Linked DNA regions of Schizosaccharomyces pombe. Changing the gene in region 3 together with the main gene of any one other region gives a genetic interaction. Each region holds a gene or a part of one and is shown on either strand. Other genes may lie near its edges. The genes, in order: rga8, omh6, ymr1 and rud3.

Region 1 (6,225 bases), 1.9 Mb from region 3:
GATGCTTCTAACTAAAAAAGTTTTATGGTACTTTAGACATGGAATTGAATATCAAATTCGTAGCATTGCTTGCAAAAAAGGATACTCTGAGCATAACGTTTCAAGAGTACTTATTGAAAAAGCCCGATCGCTTTCTTCAGAGTATCTTCAATTCCATCAAGTAAATAATAAAGTAAGTGTCGGCAAACAAAGTGTGAAATCAGCCTGCTACTGTTCGAGATACAATAATAATGGTAATACAAGCATACCGGACATTAAGCTTTACTCATGAAAAATTAAAATCTGATATAAATGATCTAACTTATATCTTTTAGGATCAATCGGCAATGACAAACGATACAGATTTAGCAAAGCGAATCGCTAGGCTTCGACGCGTTCATAATGCATATTCGAAATTTAAAAGTTTGTCTGAGGTATGATATAAGACGAATTTGTCTCAAACTTGTAGTCAAAAGCTTTCCTTTTTTTTATTACTCTTCCTATTTATAGTAATCGATTTACAATGGTTTTTTTTTGCTAATGGGTCTATAACTTAAGACTTTTGCCAGGCATTTACTGTTTATCTAAGTAAAGCTATTTGATGAGCATGTTGAAATACTTAAATAACTAGTTTTTGAAAACCTTGATTTAAAAAAATTCTAACAATTTAGCAAATAAGCGATTTGAAACAAATGGAGGCCCAAGAGTCAGATGCAGAGGTTAAAATGATGGCAGTGACTGAAATAAACGAAATAAGTAATAAAATACCAAAAAGCATAGAAGATCTTGAAAACACATTACTTCCACAAGCTGATTCATATGCTCTTCCTGCATTAATCGAAATTCGTCCTGGTGTAGGAGGAACAGAGGCCGCAATATTTGCAAATGAACTAGTGGAAATGTATTTTCAGTATGCAAATTTTAAAGGATGGAATTGCAAATTTATATCAAAAAGTGCAGTCCAAGGACTTGAAGCGATAACGGAGGCCATCTTCTCTATTGAAGGTGAGGGAGCTTATGGTCATCTTATGTTGGAAGGAGGTGTTCATAGGGTTCAGAGGACTCCTGCTACCGAAACTAAAGGAAGAGTTCATACGAGTACTGCATCAGTAATCGTTTTACCTCAGGTGTCAAATGATGAATCCTCTTCTCTTTACGATTCATCTGAAGTTAAAATCGAAGTAATGAGATCTCGTGGAGCCGGTGGACAACACGTTAATAGAACAGAATCCGCCGTACGTTTAACACACATACCCACTGGTATCACTGTTAGCATGCAAGATTCTCGTTCTCAGCATCAAAACAAAGAAAAGGCATTTCTTGTACTGAATTCAAGATTGGCTGCCTTAAATGCCGCAAAAGAAAATGAGGCTGAAAGACTGAAACGTAAAAATCAAGTAACGTCTTCAGATCGTTCGGAAAAGCTACGAACTTATAACTTCAACCAAAATCGAGTAACTGATCATCGGATAGGTTTAAGCATGCACGATTTATCAACATTTATGCAAGGTGAAGAAAAATTTGACGAGTTTTTGGAAAAAATAAGAATATGGAATCGTGAACAGTTGCTATTACACTCTGAAATAGTATAGGAATGCTAATTTAGTCTAGTAAAATAGGAAGGTACAATAATATATGGTGGTCAAACTTCTATAGAGAAAAATGTTTATTAGGTATATGCAATGAATAATGAGAAAAGAATGTGCAACATGTCATGCAAATAAGATATCCATAACTGATCTTTAAAAAAGATCATAGGTTAACTCATAATAACATATTTTTAACTACCACTTAAACTGGAATCTCTTGAGGCGACTGCTTCGTTCACTATCTTTGCATCCTGATCAATAAAGATTGCGGCACTTTCATTGGAAGCAGAAGAATGGCTGAAATTACGTCTTGTCTTTCTAGTATTCAAGGCATACGACGATCTGATCAATGAGGTGGGCACATTTTCAAGAGTAAATTCAGATTCAGCGGGAATTTCTGAAGGTTGCAGCTCCTCAAACGAAGATCTTGGAGATTCGACAGCAGTATGAGATCGGACAGAAGAAATGGAGTCTGGTCTAGTTGGTGATACATCTGTACTCCGAGGAGTAGCAGAAGATTGATATAATACACGGTCAGAAACACGTTTGGATGAATTCAATTTTCTGAGTTCTTCAAAAATACTTGGTCCGTAAGTTAAAAGATCCTCCATGAACTTCGTTGGGTGCTTATCATGTTGAATACCCAAATTCCATGTTGCTGGACGGGAAATGCATAAAGATAAGGAGTTAGCTAAATTTATAGTAAAAGTTTCTTTATTTGGAGTAAGCGTAATCAAGCGATTTAGATGAGTAATGATGGCACTCAAAGTAGCAAGATTAACACGTCGAAGTTGGGATAAAAGATTTTGTAAAAGTCTCAACCTGTACGGCGTATCATTACTATGATTCATGTAAATTGAACGAATAAGCTCAAAAGCAGAAGAAGGAACGATGGAATCAGGGAGTTCAAGAAAGTATAGCTTCAAAACTCCTATCACAACGGAGGGAGTATACTGTGATAAAACCTCCTTTGTCACGGATGAAGAATGATTCAACGCTTCTCGAAGTTGATGTACAGAAGACAAGGGAGAATTAACAAGCCATATATTTTGACGAACTTCATCAGAGGCAAGCGTAGGATATAACAGATCTAAATAAGAAAGGATCGTACTAACGATTATGGGAACACGTTTCTTATCTCTATGAGACAAAAACTCAACGTCCACTCCAAAAATCTGATCTTTAATATCATTATAATAATCCTCATATATTTCGACACGAGGTAAAAATGGACCAGTAGCTGCAGACTCTAAAATATACCTAATGTCACTCTCAGGTTGAATTATTTCCTGATAAACAACAATCTGATCAGCCAGCAATTTCATGGAAGGCAAAAAGTTCGAAATAATTGTTGATAAATCCATAAAAAAATCTTTATAATAAAGAACGCGATCGGTTTCACATTTTTGAAGAAATTGCAAATGATCAGCAATAGTTTCTTCCACAAGTGTGCGGCATTTATCAAGATCAACGACTGATTCGCTGTAAATTTTATTTGCATCCAGAACTTCTCTTTTAAGACGTTGAGATTGAGTTTCTGAAGAGTAAAGCTTTCGATGACTTATATAATCAGAAAGATATTCACCAACTAATGGTAAAGCCTTGGCGTTTTCGACAAGACTATCTACACTATTCAGTCCTGCAAACTGGAAAGCCTTGTCTTTCCACTGATAATGGAAGTTGGTACTATTCACAAAACTACCTCCAACGCCCATATGACGCAAAAATCCTTGAGCTATCAAATCTTGTCCAAATGCCTCGGCTGCAACTAAAGTTGGAACAGGAAGATTTTCCTGAAGCCAAGAAACAATAATATTTCCTGAACATGTATTAGGGTAAGTACCTAAGATAGGGACGCGATAATCCTGTAAGGGTATTTCTTGTAATACTTGAGCCAAAACCTCTTTTAACTCCTCAGGCCTAAACTCCATAAAACCAAGTTGAATCAGATCATCATCATTTTCCAACAATGATTGCTGCTGTGGACTAGAAACTGTTGTTAAGTCAGTAATAGCCTCACTAGTAGTTTCATTGGACTCCTTTGATTCTTCTTCATAATCTTCAAGGTTTCTACATTTGTTGTAGTAAGCGCTTTTTGTTTTTTTAAGTGTATAGTATTTCTTTTCATAACTCTTTATTTGATTGGTAAGAACTTGTTGGCTGGTTTGTAACTTCTGAGAATGATCAATAGACATTTTAGAGAAAGGAGCAATAATTAGCGTTTCTAAGTCCTTGGCAATACGAATATGTTGCTTTCCTTGATTAGCAATCTCGGAGCGCAACCCTTCAAAAGCCTTGTTAGAAGTAGCACCGTCTTCTGTATTCTCTGGCTTTTTCCCTTTTAGACATTCTTTCGTTATTTCTTGAAGCTTTTCACCAAATTCCTCATTCGCTTCTTTATATAACTTCAACAAGTTTTTTACTATTCGTTGTTAGAGGAAGTCCTATATTAATTTATTTAAATACCTTGCTCATTCTCTTCAACTCCATTATCCAGGCAATCGAAAAGTTTTTTCACACCAGTCGCGTAGTCTTTACTCCAAAAACCATTTGAAAAGCTCGATATCATTTCAATTCGAGACTGAAACTGTCACAACCTGTCAAGAAATATAGAGGTGGTTGACATGTCTACGCCCTTTATTACTCAACTTAAGTAAATAGCGAATTGCTACGCAGAAAAGTTTTACCCATCAAGGATGCCAAAAGTATCCAGTAAATAAGACAACAGATACGTTACTTGACACACATAAGATAGCATACCACTAATCCTTTATAAAATGTAAACTTCATTCAGTTGAATAGCAGCCTACGCTTTTACCCACTTTGTATTATTAATGCTATGGTTGGATCGATGGTACAATTAAAAACTACAAAATTTTAATTAATAGCTTACTGAGAAACCTTGCGTTTGCACGATGAGGTTTTGAAAAGAGAGAGTAGCGTACTTTATTGTTATAATGCCTACATGAAAACGAAAGAGAGCGTCCCGACGTTATTAAAACTATAATATCGTAAAAATGTATCACTAATGATGACAGGGTAGTTTTCATATCGATTTAGTGCGAGGATAAGGAAGTTTGAAATTGCATAATACATTCTTTTGACATTTGAAATGCTACCAAATAGTCATTTAAAACGCTAAAATATTTACAATTTCATAAAACAATAAAGCACTTAAAATTTAAAATGTCTAGCAAATTTCATGGTTATTCGTTACTCGTCAGATAAAACAAAAACGTTTAACACGGGCATGAAAAGAGAAAGGCGGAACCAAAGTTAGAAACCAATACCATAAGCGTATTGCAAATGCATTCAAATTAGGGGAAATTCCCTTAATTACGACGCTTCCAAGCAATTTTAACAGGACCCAAGGGAAGAGCAACCATACTGGAATAGTCAACGTTGGGAACTTTTCCAATAAGAGTCCAGGTGTAATCGTGTACAAACTTGCTAATAATAGTGCTCAAATGCATGTAGGCAAATTGCTCACCAATGCAACGATGACGACCAGCTCCAAAGGGTAGGTATGGAGAAGCAGCACCCTTTGTAACGAGACCATAACCATAATCAATTTGCTCAGCATTTTCGTCTTCATTGACGCGGTCATTCCAGCGCTTGGGGTCAAAGTCAGTAGCATGAGTGAAGTATTCCTCTTCAGTAGCAGTTAAACCGGGAGCAGCAAGAAGATAGTTGTTGGCAGGGATAACAATCTTTGAACCAGGGACGGGTAAGTCACGTTTGACTTTACGCATATGACTGTGGATAGGGGGATGGAGTCTAAGAGTTTCTTGAATAACATAGTTGAGAAGAGGCATGTCCTTATATTGGTCAAACTTCAATTCCAAGTTTTCACCTACAACACGCTTCTGCTCTTCCCACAACATTTCAATGATTTCAGGTTTGCTACCCAAAAGAGCAAGAACCCAAACGATAGTGGCAGCAGAGGTGTGTTGACCAGCCATCAAAAGTGCAATCATCATACCAGCAATTTCATGTTCCTTCAAAGGACGGCCATCTCTATACTTGCAGCTCATCAAAGTCCAAATCATATCAGTACCAGGATTTTCAGTGCTAGAGCGACGATCTTTAATAATTTTAAGATAAGTTTTTTGCATAATTTTGTGGGCTCTATCACGGCGTCTGTTTCTAGGGAGAGGTAACCAAGGGAAAACAAAGTTAACAGGGCTAAATCCTTGATCAAGGTCATGGTACAAGTCAGCGAAACCAGCGTCAAAGCCCTTGCGAACCTCAGCACCTTGTAAAGTACGAGAAGCAGTGTAAATAGTCATGACAGGCATGGTCTTCAGCAAATCAGCAACGCCTTCCTTACCAGGTCCGAAGTCAGGAGAAGTGCTGAGAAAAGCATCCATTTCGTTAAGAATGAGGGGGACATAAGAGCGGAATTGAGAGAAGCCAAGACCAGATTTGATAAACTTCTTGTGCTCCATAAAAACATGGTTGGGAATATCGTAAACGACATCTTTACCGAATACAGGGGTAGTTAAATGAGAGTAAGCTTCTTCAGCATTCAAATCAGCTAATTTACCGTTAAAGAGGAAATCATTACCTTGGACACCAAGGAAAGCGGTCATTTTACGACCCATGCAAACAAAGGTGAAAACATCACCATATTTGGCACGACACTCGCGAAAAAATA
Region 2 (4,887 bases), 910 kb from region 3:
AAGACCGGGATTATCTTCATGTAAGATTTCGGTTTTCGCCAAGGAAGACTCAACATTCTCAATTCTCTCCTCGATTTTCTGAATATTGCTTCGAAGCTTTTTATCCTTGATTTTCTTTGGATTCAGCTTGCGCCCTCTAGAATATTTTTTTGTAGAAGCATTAACATCCTCCAAATTCAACTTTTGAGCAGACATAATGCTAACTAAGTAAAGATATTAGTGAGGAAAAAAGATTTTTTTTTCTTTTTAGGCCTGATTATACAAAAAAAATGAAGCAGTTTTCTAATAAACAATTCTTTCCAAAATTTAGGTATCTCCCTTAGTCAAAAAGTTAGAAACCCTTCAATTTTTACACAAATGTATTATGTAAACGAAGTGATAGTTAAAAAATTCAAACACTACGTTCGACTTCGATTCTATGACCCAACAGTAGGTTTAGGTTGAGGGCAGGTGGAATGTAGTTCTAGGAATAGGATTTGTGCGTTCTTATTGTAAAAAATCAGAAACTACTACTAACACAATTAGATACAAACCACAATTATTTACAAATAATACAAGTATAATAAAATAAAATTTCATAAAAATTAAGTATGCAAAATAAAAACAAGAAAATTTTAAAAGTAAACCCGAAACCCAGTAAAAACATTATAAGTTCAGACAATGGCCAATGCCAAAACTGCGAAATGAACCATGAAACGAAAATAGCTCAGGAATTAATTCTCCTGCTTTTTGGTCATGGAAAGAAGCTGGATCGAATTGGATATATCGCTCATCTTCGAACCGCTATTATGAGCACTTCTTAGTACGCTCTGCGTAGTGTTGTAATCATCAATACTCTGTAAAAGGACGTTTTGTTGGTATTTGTTGTTTTTAGAGGAGTTTTTGTTTTGTTTTGAGGATTTCTTAACTCCTTTTGAAGTCTGTTTAGGCTTTTTTGACTGCTTGTTCCTTTTCTGTGCCATTTGGTTGAAGTTAAAAGTTTTATCACGGAGGCGATAATTCATTTTTTCAACAAAATTTTCCTTCTCAAAAGTAAAGATATATTTATTATAAACAAATACACATGCAACATAATACATTTCTCCCTAACGATGCTGTAGAAGAGCAAAAGCAAAATCCATACTATGGAATACTGAGAGCAGTGGAAACCGACTTAAGGCTCGGTCAACGTTGGTGTGAATTAAAGGTACATGTTCTTGATATTGACTTAAAAACAAAAAGGCCTTTACTCTCAGGGATTCCCGTAAATGGACAGCTCAAAGACAAATTGCAATATGTTCTGCCGCTTTACCTCCAAGAGACAATTTCGATCGAGTTTCTGTCCTCTGTTTTCGATTCTATGAAGAAACTGAGCCTTCCACTTGTAAAGGATGCTCGAGGTCTTTCTGGAGATGAGTTTTTCCTATACCTGGGAATCATGTGTTCTGACTCAACGATAGTATATTACAAGATCACCGATGGACTTATAAAACCAAGGCAAAATGATGAAGAATAAACACATGATATATACATATTTATTGATTAGGATTGAAAAACGGAAAGACAACGCTATAATTTTACCACTACCAGATTAATTTTTCACTTCAAGTGTCTCAACGTTTGTAAATGAAAATGCACATATTACAATAACTTTCATAAAACAAATTCGTATGAACAAAAATTTTCTGTAAAGCTCATTCATCAATTAATATCACAAACATGCACATCTTCCTGTGTATGGAATAGTTTCTGGGCAATAATGAACATCATCGTTTAAGAAAAATCCCACTGATTCCATATGATTAGCACGCGCTCTTAAAACACCAAATGCTGCTGAAAGGATATCAGACTCGGCTAAATAAATGTCAGCAAAAAGTACAACGTGAAGCATTTATATTAGAAACAGGTTAAATAAAGTCATTTCCAAAATTGAAGAAGCAATTTACTTACTCCAGCGATGATAATATGTTCCTCCTGAACCAAGCAAGTAATTAATTAGGTTGGTGTAGGTCTGATTATGCCGAATTTGCTTTAGAGATAAAATTTCATTAAAAGGCCAGTATTTACAATAGGTGTAGTTGTTACTATAAACCCAGATATTGCTGAAATCTCCTTGAGTGTTTAAAATTTTGTATTCTTCAATTGCCTCTTCCATAGCATATATACCAGAGTGTTTACGTTCACAGACGTGGTTTGTAAATACAATGTCGCTGTCTTTGAAAGTAGAAAATATATCTCTGAACAAAAATATTAGTTAGGTTTCCTGAAAAAGAAGAACGAAATAAACAAGTTTTACCGAGTTTCTTACTTTTTTTCTTCACAAACCAATTTGAGCCCGGGTTCTATTCTCCAAACATAATCGTATTCCAATTGAGGATGATATAATAAAGATCGAACTACCCAATCTTGAAAACTGTGAAACAAAGGAGAGTATACGTAAGATAGATTCTCTTGAGCAAGTGCATCTGCTCGTTGTTGATAAAGTCGATTGTTTTCAACTAGGGGTTTTACTTGAGAAAGATCCCAATGCACTAAGTAAGAGATAGTTAGAATAAATTGTAAATGATTGGTATAAGTTATTCCCTTCGTACCGTATTCACAATGACCAGACGCAATCGTGCTTGTCGTACTCATAAAGTATTCCGTAAACTCATCCATGCCGTAAAACGTCCAAGGATAATGAAACCTCTTATTAAATCTATCCTCTACGCTACGCATCGTGCGCAACACTTCCCCAAGTTCAGCATTACTAGAAAACAGAATTAGAAAGTACATCTCAAATGGCACCGTACGCGGTAAACATCAGAAAAGAAGCACTCAAATTGGAGCTTTGAGGTTCATTAAGAATCACATATACATTGTTGGGTTCATTTACAGAGAATCCATTCAACCAGGTAAATACAATTGGTAGTATGGAAAGTAAAAGTTCGTAAAACATAATGAAGCTTAAACACGAGCAGAACTTTCCCTGTTATGAGAAGTAACTAGTTCAACTAACGTATGACTCCAAAAGTAACGCATAGAAAGTGGATTTGAAGGAATTTAACTGAAATTGCCTAAGACAATGGTTAAGGGCAAATGTTAATACCCTGCTAGAGATTTGACCTTAGAAAAGAGAGCTCTTTGAGTATAAATATTTATTTTTAGCAAATCAATTTTTGTATACAATGTTTGATGGGTAGATCACTGAAAGAATCTGCTAACGAGCATAATCTTATAAATGACATTTGCATAAGCGTACTGATAGTCGCTATGTCGAGCTGTTATTACTGTTGGAATATTTAAGTTCTATCAAAGGAATTATAAAATTTGCATTCGTCTTTTATAATGGTTTTTAATGTCTATTAAACAATTCATTGTTGCTGATGAATGTAAACAAAAGCAATAAGTTTAAGTATAGGAAAGCTTCAGCTGTTCTAGAATACAAACTCAGTAAAATGTTATAAAATAATATTTCATAAACCCAAGTGGCATATGTATCTTAAGACATTTTCCCAATATCTGCAAACTAATTCACTACTTTCGATCAAATTATATACTGTGGTTGTTCATAATGCACAATCTTATTTTAACGAGCCTTTTTTTTTGCTTTCTGGAAACACCAAAATTCCTAGACTACTAAGGGTAAAACAGTCACTAGGGTTAGGGTTGTAATTTTCAACAAACTATATAAAGTCTCGTTTGCACTTCGTTATAACCTATCATGAATCTGAAGTTACATTGTTCAGATTCTTTCGAGAATCTTGCGTGTAACATGGTTGGCGTGTAGAGGTTGACAAGAGTACAGACAGGGCGGCGATTGTCCTTGCAGTTTCGACTGCAGGTTGAGAGTTGGCGTCTTGCCATGAAAATTGACTAAAGGATGCTGCGTAGCCTAGCCAACAGATTCTAAAACGATTGGAGTGATCCTGATCCTTCTCCTTTGGAGAGGAATTGGTTGATCCTCTGACAACTGTATATTCCTAAATCTTTCGCTACATGATCTCTGGATCCTTGCAGTTGGGTAAAACCATACAGTTGACATTTTTCATTTGGGTAGTTCTTCTTTTATGATAGTTTAATCATGTGTATGAATACGATTAATTATTTTATTACAATTTTACTTTGTCATTTAAAACTGAATTTTTTAAACTTCCAATTCGCTGTTAATGAACAAATAAAAATGGGCGTTGTGATGTTTTGATGAGAAACAGGCTGACCTGTCGATGTAGTTTTCGTTTGTACAGCTTGACCGTTTGAGGTAGGTTGCCAGTATGGTATTTTGTATACTTAAACTGAATTTTTAATGATAATATTCTCGTCATATTTTGAGGTACTTTGTTTTCGTGTATAAGTCCTTGTCAAATTAAATGGACTACAAAGTTTTTAACAATCAGTTTTGTGGGCTGTTTGTAGCAACATCACAAGTGTATTAGCAATAAATGATTTAGAAATGCTACCCTAAGAGAGTATATAAAAAAAACCTTTCGCTCCTTTTCATCGTTTACTAGGTCGTTGAATTGTCAACATTTCAGTCTGATTTGGCAATTACAAGCGAATGATAAAAACCAAAAACTGGTTGCTTGTTCAGCAGTTGTCGACGCCGACGGGAAAGCCTGCTAGCTGAAATAATTGTCAGGATGCTCAATATTAGTAAAGCAATGAGCAAATTAAAAACTATAAGTTTGTATCTATTCCTGTAATTGGGGCTACCGTTTGGACATAGGCCCGGTGCACGCAGTTTTTGAAGACGAGATGAGTTAGGGTGCTCTAATATAATCCTTAATGTGGAAAATAGAGAATCTTCTTCTAACGTAAGTGAGTTGCCGTTTCTGTCACTCACATAGATTACGCCTTTCGAGTGATCTATCACAAACACTGGTGGTGTGATAGAATCTACATAAACAGTATGGTCCAAATTTTCCACAA
Region 3 (4,828 bases):
AATGATGCTTTTCATCGTGGTATTTATGCAGCAGTTGATACAAAAAAATAATTCTCAATCTTTAACATACTTTGATCATAAGCAATGCAGACAGCCAAAAGGGCGAAGCAAATTGTCCATTTCGAATATTCAATTTCGTATCCCAGCACCCGAATAACGTTTCGGGCTGCAGGAATCAAAGTCTCAGTTTGATTCATCTCCATCGTTTTAAAGGAAGGAGCACGATGAATGAATCAACAAATCCAACTCGTTGGGTATTGGTGAAGGAAAAGTCCTTGTCGGGCTATCGGTCTTATATAGAAAATTACCGACACGCAATTATACGCTCCGAAATGAGATAGATAAATCTGGTACGATGTGAATCTTACAATAAAGTAAAAAAAAAAGAAAAGAAAAATTTAAAGTTATGAAAACTAATACTATAATTTCAAAAGCTTTCTTACTGCAGTAATTAGAAAGGCTTACTAACACTCACTATTATATTGAAAAAACTCGTTACTGGGCAGTCATTTAAGATCAGCTGTTAAACTACCAATCATGAGATGTGCAATCATACATACTATATATAAGCATCGCTTAGCATATCTACACCAAACTTTGTTAAGTGATTGCATGAGAATGCAGTGAATGGTCCGTTATACGAGTAGAGTAGAAGAACATTGGAAGAATTGATAAAATAAAAGTATCATAGGAACGGGATTCGTAGTCCAAGCGATAATCGTATAAAAGGGGATAAAAAAATTTTAGCATGGATCACCAAAATAAATGGAAGATTTGGGACGTAAACTTTCAAAATATGTATCAGTAAATTAAACGACTCTGTCGTCCTCTTCATGCGTTCATAGTCTCTCGCAAAAGTCCATGTAGATAGATTATCGGAGTCAACATGCGATGATGAAAAGTTGAATTAGGCAAAAGAGAGGCTAAAAAGAGAGAAAGAAAGAGATGCAATCAATCTAAATTGCGCTAAAATGAGCATAAAAAGGAATTAATAAAGAACTTCCAATGAAGACAAAAATGGAAGGAAAATGTCCAATGAAGATTTTCAAGTAAATGTTTCATAAAGACGGAGATTCGGAGGGTGATGGGATATTCATGTTTTCATCAGGTTGAGCAAAAGAAGCTGACCACCATCTCAGCGATGAAGGATCAGGCATTATAACATCATCATAAGGTACATAGTTAGGATTCTTGAATTCATCCTTCCGAGAAAGGAAATAGTCCCAGATACAACGAGTATGAGTGCTGACGGATGCTTGAGCTCGTTCCCGTTCAGAGTTGTATAGGAACGAACCGTATTGGCAAGAGTAAAGATGGTAAAGTAGACGGCGTAAAAATCTCTCGTTAAACTCGAAACAATTAGGAAATTGATCCATAATTTGCCAGACGCAATCTAAAAACTGATGAAAGACCGGAGACATCATTTTTTCGGAATGGTCAATTGAGAAGCCACTTAAAGCAGAGCGTACTGTTGAAAAAGTGTATTGTAAAGTCGAACTTGGTGAAGATTGGGGTGGTTCTTCTGAGTATGAGCTGTCGATTGTAAAAATACGTTTACCAGGTAAATGACAACATCTTTCTGCAAACCTATGCCCGAAGGAAAGCCAATCCTTTTCGACGAGAGCAAAAAATCCCTCAATTGTTCTATAGTAAGGATCCAAACACAATTGAGGTAGAGCACATAACTGGGAAGTTCTGTCCCATCCATCTGAGCAATGTACAAGTACATGGGCATGCCTAAAATGAACTGTTTTAACAATAAGAACCGCTCCTTGTAAAATGTTAGCCAAGTGCTTAAGCCAACTTGATCTGTTTAAGAGTTCTATCAATGGAGGTGCCGCACTAATATCTGTATTTTTAAGAGCATTCACAATTTTATTTAAAGAATCCCTCATGACGTGTATGTTATCAATTCCAAGATATATCTTCTTTGCAAAACGGTAGTGATCCATGTTTTCGCTTCCAGCGCCTACGGCAATGTTAGCCATCGCATTAGTAGAAGGCCTCGCATCAACTATAAGATTTTCTTTTCCAGGAATGATTGATGTTGCGAATATAGCTTCAACAAGTTTTTCATCCTGTGCACTTCGATTTTGACGAATACCCACAAGGGGTTGAGAGGCCCGCGTAATTGAAAACTAAATAAATTAGTATTAAAGCCTCTCAAAGTTAGTAAAACTTACAGAATTTTTATGGAGATACGTAAGGGTAGGAAATCGATTTTTAGATCTATATTTGCATCCATAATATATAACACTGTCAGAAATGCTAGCGGGAACGGCTAGAGCTTGCGGATAAGAATGGCACTCAGAGTAATTTTCGTTAATTTTAGTTATCCTCCAATTTCCGCCAGCACCATCAGCTTGGGTGGAATCACCTACTCCCATGCGCCTATATTCATTTTCAAGTAGAAATGATTTCCAAGAAGATGGCAGTTTCTCTTCATCTCCGGAGGGCATATAGTAAAATGCGTATAGCATATTTATTGAATTAATAGACATCAATTCCTGTAAAGTGTCGTATACGTCCATCGCATCCTCCGTGCTTTGAAACCTCCAACAAAAGAACATAAAGTCTCGGCATTGTATACGTATACAAAATGATTTTTCGTTAGAGCAAAGCTTTACATTATTTATCATGGAATATGCCGTCCAAATTTCCTTCCCATTTTCCGAGATTGAAAAAATAGAATGATACGCTGTCAAATGCAATGTTCCGTTCAATTCGTTTCCTTTGTTCACAAACTTCACATTTCCGACCTATTTGTTAATATTTTGATAAAATTAAGTTTTAGATCTAATCGCATTATGCTTACTTTTGCAACTTTGATGTTTTCCATCACACGGAAACTTCTTTTTATAAGCAATTGAATAAAATGAAGCAACCCTCGTACTATCAAGTACTGTGACAAAATATGAGTACAAAGAATTAAATATGTGTTTAGCGCAGAATGTAATTGCGTTCTACTTAGATAGATGAAGGTTTTAAACTATTTACGGTGGTGCTGTCGATTAATGCTGCCAAGTGCATGGCTGTAATCATTGCGGTTATCAAGGCTACAACTTGACATATCATTACCTTGTTTATTAAACAATAGAAAGGACGATTCTGAAAGATGTAGAGGAGTTACACTTATCTTTGGTATATATATGTTTAATAAATTCAACTTTATTAATTTGTGTATCTGACAAAAAAAAACGAGTGCTTGATCAAATAACTCATAAAACCCTAAATATAAAAAAGATAATAAAATAACAATAAAAATAATTAAGTTACAGTTTCATTAACAATTATGCAGCGTAGTCTGCGTTTTCCACAGTCTCGAGTGTCAATAATCTTGTAGCTAGAGTGTCTTTGCCGAAAAACAAAGTGCGGTTCCTCCAATCTTGCGTGCAAGAATCGCAATACCTTTGCATCGAGGGTGGGTATAAATCAAATTCCCTTGCTTTGTCACATCCCAACAGCTCTTGTTGAATGTATTGATATACGGCATCCTCGTGAATTATATATTCGTAATAGTTTAGAGACGCCAAATTTTCCAATATTTTTTTTCTTTTTTCTGCAATATAATTCCGTTTTCGTAACCAGTGACTTTTTTGAGGAGAACTTTTTAAAGCAAATGATTGTAAACTGTAAAAAGATTAGAATAATAATAATAACAAAAAAAAGATAATATAATGTACATGTAATCAACATTTATAATTACATGGTACTACTAACAAACTTACCATTCACTTGGATAAGTGACGTTGGGGTGCAAATAAGTAGGAAGTCCGACTAATAAATCATCAACGTCCTTCATATAAACATAACGAGCAGAAGTTTCAATATTTTTAAACTCATCGAAAACTTGCCCGACAAATTTGTTATTCTGTCGCTCATCCCAGTACTTAGCTCCAAAACAAAACATGAGAGAAAGGTTCAAGATAACCGAACAAGCAAAAATAATAACCAAAAATGAGTGAGAAAATAAATATCTTAGGAAAATGTGGAAGACAGCCCACGGCAGCTTTAGTAGATCAATTGCCAATCCTTGAAGAAAAAGCCACCAATTATTGCGAATAATATCGATAATTGACAGGTTTTTCAATTCACAGTTAAAAGGTATTTTTCTTCGATAAACCATCGATTCATTGTAGTCGCCTACTCTTCCATATTGATTTATTATCGCAATAAGCGGCTGATTTCTTGCTCTTCTAGTTGCCTTTTCCAAAAAGTTGACTTCCGTTTTTATATACTTGATAGCCAGTTTTCTACATTCAGCCTCAATAACCTTTGATATAGCAAAAGGTTTAACGATCCATTCAAGGCCTACAGATATGAGCAATCTAGACTTCTCCCTTCTAAGGTGAGATATAGAAGTTTTTGTCACGATTTTAAAGTAATCTCTATAAGGCAAAGTCCAAGAGTGATGAAGCCATGTCATAATGTATAAATGATAATCATTGCGGACGTCCATTATTTGGCAATCCTCATAGTGGTAAGATTGACATTGACCTTCTTGGTCGTAATTATAAACCTTATAATTGATGTATCGACGACTCAAATTGGTTTTTGGATCTTTTCCCCATGGTAAAAATTCGACATCATCTACTCCATGAAGATTGTAAGCACCAGACAACACGGTGCTTCTATCACCAAAAACAATATGAAACAATGCCTTAGTAGAAACATTGTACACTCGATCAAATACAATATCGTCCAGATGATGAGAACGAACAACTTGGACTGTCTCTTTCGGAAGCATAGCAATCTTGAAGTCCCTGAGGTCTTCCATAAATGAATCATTACTCTCATTCTTATTGATCAAATTAGTTAGCGCTCTACT
Region 4 (3,790 bases), on a different chromosome or scaffold from region 3:
GCGCTACCCGTTCCTGACGATAGGCCAAAACGTCGTCGTGGAGGAAGAAGAATTCGCAAGATGAAAGAGCAATATGCCGTAACGGAATTGCGGAGATTACAGAATCGCGTCGCCTTTGGTAAGGAGGAGGCGGAAGTCTTTAATTTTGACGAAACGGAAGGTCTTGGTATGCTTGGTCAAGAAGGTGAAGGAAAAATTCGTGCAGTGTCAATTGATTCTCGAACTAAATTACGGTTACCAAAAGCGCGGAAGGCCCAACTACAATCAATGGCACAGAAGAATCCCCTTGCTGCAAGCGGTTTACAAAGTTCATTATCCTTCACACCTATTCAAGGCATTGAACTAGTGAACCCCTTACTTCAACGACAACAAAAAGTAGAAGAGGCCAACAAATGGTTTCGTGATGGTGTTTTTACACAGATAAAGAAGGATTCTAATGAGCCGAAAAATAAATTTTCATAATAATGTCTTCATAATGATTAGTTACTTTGCATATAGCTATGTTGCTTTTGCATACTAGTAATACAGACCATAACTATGACCTGAGTGATTAAAATAAAATGATATTTTTAAAATTCTTCGAAAAAACTGATATTAACAAACAATTTTGAAAATTAAGAATATTGACTAATAGATGAAATTGCAACAAGCGCTTTTGCCATAAAGCTAGGCATAGCAGGAGAAGGCAAAATATCAAAATGAACGTATGAAACTATTACTTCAAGAATGATATAGTCAACCTTCAAAATGTGTGAAAAGAGAGTAAAAAAATACTAAAACCTTGTACGCGCGGCAAAAGGTAACCCCTAATTAAGTTGTGAAGTAAGAAAAAAAAAAGCGATACATAAAAAGAGCGAAAGATATTATTATTTACAGAAAAAAGAAAAATCTTTCATACCATTGCTCAATTGAAACGTAAAATTATCGGTTAGTGTGGAAGAAAATTATGAGTCATGGAAAGAACGTCTTTTGGAAAAGGAATGATCGGAGAATAGAGAGTTAGAGGACGCACTGTGAGGAATACTCCAATTATTTACAGAGGAACCAGGACGTTGAAGTCCCGTTTGTTCCCTTTGCGTATCGTTCCAATCTAACACGGAAGAAATTAATTGCAATATTTCGAAACGTTTAGTGTCAGCGCGAGGAAGCGTCAAAAAGGAGACAAACAAATTAGAAATAAGTTGTTTGTCAATTTTTTCTGCATTATTTCCATCTTTAAGCATGCAGAGAGCCTTTGTAAGATGTTCATTCAAAACAACGGCCTCGTGCTGCAGTTTACCAATAAGTAGGGTTTTTTCTTTCACCTCGTGCTCCAAATCAGAGACCCTTGAAAGCCTTTTCTGTGTAGCATCTAACTCATTTTGCAAATCTTCGTACTCTTTTGATTTAGAAGCGAATTTCTCAGTCACGTCGTCCATGGCCTTCTGCCAATTTCTGGTAAGTTCACCGAGGTTTTCAGTATGGGAAGCTTTGGTGGATTCTAATTCAATTTCTAGTTGATGCTGATTTGTCAAATGACGTTGAATTTCAACTTCATACTGCTCTTGTCTTTCAGTTTCTCTAGCTAGCTGCTCTTCACAATCTGCCAATCGAACGGCCAATGATTCTTGCATCTCATGTTCATCTCTGGCTCTTCTTTCCCATTGTTTTGATTGAGTCGATAACAATTGATTTTCTTCAACAAGCGAAGCATTTTGCTGTCTCAAATCTGTTATATCTTGCGTTAAGCTTTCTACTTGTGCGGTCAAGGTTACGGTTTCTTCATTGCTCAACTTAAGTGCTTCCTCTGCATCGCCCAAAGACTTTTCGAGCTCTTGAATTCGTTTTCGATTTTGAGCTAACTCTTGAGAATCCTTCTTAAGCCTTTCTCCCAACGTTGACTTAATTCCCGAGACCTTCCCGAGTAAATTAGAGTGTTGCTGCTTCAATGAGTTATAAGAATTCTTTAATGTTTGATAAGCTTCCTCCTTCTCCGCCAATTTCTTGAAAGATTCTGAACATTCTAAATGTTCATCGTTTTCTTTCAAAACTCCGCCTTTTTCATTCAATTTGAGCTCATTTTTTTCATCTTCTAAGTTCAAACGACTTAAATCCTCTTGTAAATTCTCATTTTCCACCAATTTTGTTTCATTTCCTGCATTTTCTGCCATTCCAGAAATTATGGGAAATTGAATTAGTGAGCTCTAGAGTGGCCCTAAAACATCCATCTTTTCGTAAACATTTCCATAAACCTCGATAATATTCCTTTAACTTGGTTTACGAAATACTAAACCTTTTGCTTTAAAATTTGTTACTACAATAAACAGTAGCAACGTATTCAACTTTAACTGTAAGCTACGCAGTTTGGTATCTGATTTAAGGATACGTAGAACTGCGGTGAGTTTTCCTTATGGTCTATTTATATTACAATACACAGGTTGTATAAGTAGCAACTGAGTATAGGTATTGTATTAACTGGGTTATAATGTTACCTATCACTAATATAGCTCATAACTGAACTGAGGAACGAGGTTCAGTTGTAACGCTATTTATAATATTTCTAAATAGTTGTTATTAACGGGTATCTATGTATATAGACGGATAGTTACCCGTGATTATCAATAAACGGATCTTAGCTAGTATTCCAACATATGACATATAGTGATACGCAACGTAGTGTATCATAGCGTAGTGTAGTATTGCTGACATTAACATACTTTGTTGACCGTTGTGCTGCGGTACGCCCCTATTCTTTCTCTGCTCATGTTAACCAACGAACGTGGTGAAATAAACCGCTAAGTTGGAAAAAGAGTGTTTCTTTCTTCCTTCTCCTTTCTCGTCCCTCACTGCCCAACATAAACAAACTCCCACACATATGAGGTTGAACGAGTCTGCATATTCTTTTTAAAGAAAAGAGTTGTTTTCTTATTCATATTGACGGTTTGGTAGTTCCTACGAACTTGCATTTCAGATTGTTTATTTTTCATTCGGGTTTTTGCAAAGTAAGTAGCGTTGTCTTGCATCTACGGTGATAGAGCTTTCTTTCAAATAAGGAGGATTGCTGGTCCTTGGTTTGGTCAACATACGGTTTTTAATCACATTTCGATTTTACGCTGCATTTTCGATTTGCTTCAGATATCATTAATTGGTAGATTTGAAGATTATAACATTGAAAAAGACTTTTTTCACTGTAAAAAATATTTATTTTTTTATATTCAGCTATTCGAAGAACATTTTTTTTGCATTTTTTTCTTAGCTGGGTAGGTGTTCTTCACATTGGAGAGCTGTTTTTGGTTGATTGTTTTGTTACAAGATTTTTTGCATTTGTATATTACACGGAGCTTTTCGTGCTGATCATTTTTTACTTCTTGATTGTTCTTTACTGTTTGTGGTATATTTCTAAAGAAAACACAAAGTAAAGTAATTTTGGGTAAATAACTTTTTCGTTGTGGCCCTTAGAACAGTATCCTGGTACTGCACATTTCTTCTACTGACGATATTTTTACCGGAACTCTGTTCCGTACTTAATTCTCGGCCATTTTTGACACCGATTTTTTAAGTAGATCCCAATACAGCATTCTTGGATACTTCTGTCTCTTTTAGCACCGTTTTCCTTCTCACAATCTACTTTATATTTCTACCATTTTCCTATGGGACGGTTTAAGAGGCATCATGAAGGGGACTCAGATTCCTCCTCATCCGCTTCCGACTCTTTATCAAGAGGAAGAAGGTCTCTTGGTCACAAGCGAAGTAGCCACATAAAAAATCGGCAGTATTATATTTTGGAAAAAAAAATTCGTAAACTCATGTT

What was found.
Region 1: mutations in ymr1 (region 3) and rga8 together harm fitness more than expected from each alone (negative genetic interaction), as found in Schizosaccharomyces pombe (one large-scale study listed by BioGRID).
Region 2: mutations in ymr1 (region 3) and omh6 together harm fitness more than expected from each alone (negative genetic interaction), as found in Schizosaccharomyces pombe (one large-scale study listed by BioGRID).
Region 4: mutations in ymr1 (region 3) and rud3 together harm fitness more than expected from each alone (negative genetic interaction), as found in Schizosaccharomyces pombe (one large-scale study listed by BioGRID).

Annotation. Positions count from the first base shown.
Region 1 is NC_003424.3:570,235-576,459, forward strand, and holds rga8 (putatiRho-type GTPase-activating protein Rga8), read right to left. Parts: upstream 4,190-6,225; 5' UTR 4,138-4,189; coding exon 4,035-4,137; intron 3,991-4,034; coding exon 1,760-3,990; 3' UTR 1,572-1,759; coding exon of another isoform or gene 651-1,571; 3' UTR 519-650; downstream 1-518. Other genes in the region: mrf1 (peptide chain release factor), read left to right, coding at 2-172, 315-413, 651-1,571; erg11 (sterol 14-demethylase), read right to left, coding at 4,901-6,225. UniProt on the Schizosaccharomyces pombe protein: Acts in signal transduction. Negatively regulates the pak1/shk1 control pathway.
Region 2 is NC_003424.3:3,391,196-3,396,082, forward strand, and holds omh6 (alpha-1,2-mannosyltransferase Omh6), read right to left. Parts: upstream 3,050-4,887; 5' UTR 2,755-3,049; coding exon 2,288-2,754; exon of another isoform or gene 2,217-2,287; coding exon 1,930-2,216; intron 1,912-1,929; exon of another isoform or gene 1,834-1,911; coding exon 1,691-1,833; 3' UTR 1,496-1,690; coding exon of another isoform or gene 714-1,495; 3' UTR 555-713; downstream 1-554. Other genes in the region: U3 snoRNP-associated protein Utp7, read right to left, coding at 1-195; SPOM_SPAC959.11 (uncharacterized protein), read right to left, coding at 714-1,079; tRNA-splicing endonuclease subunit Sen15, read left to right, coding at 1,064-1,495; pdi4 (protein disulfide isomerase), read right to left, coding at 4,490-4,887. UniProt on the Schizosaccharomyces pombe protein: Probable mannosyltransferase involved in O-glycosylation of cell wall and secreted proteins.
Region 3 is NC_003424.3:2,481,908-2,486,735, forward strand, and holds ymr1 (myotubularin family phosphatidylinositol-3-phosphatase), read right to left. Parts: upstream 3,010-4,828; 5' UTR 2,840-3,009; coding exon 2,816-2,839; intron 2,760-2,815; coding exon 2,184-2,759; intron 2,139-2,183; coding exon 1,059-2,138; 3' UTR 501-1,058; downstream 1-500. Other genes in the region: C-22 sterol desaturase Erg5, read right to left, coding at 71-203; ltc2 (BAR and PH domain-containing protein), read right to left, coding at 3,291-3,630, 3,729-4,828.
Region 4 is NC_003423.3:738,635-742,424, reverse strand, and holds rud3 (golgin protein Rud3), read right to left. Parts: upstream 2,163-3,790; 5' UTR 2,151-2,162; coding exon 945-2,150; 3' UTR 549-944; downstream 1-548. Other genes in the region: U4/U6 x U5 tri-snRNP complex subunit Prp31, read left to right, coding at 1-462; double-strand-specific ribonuclease Pac1, read left to right, coding at 3,630-3,790.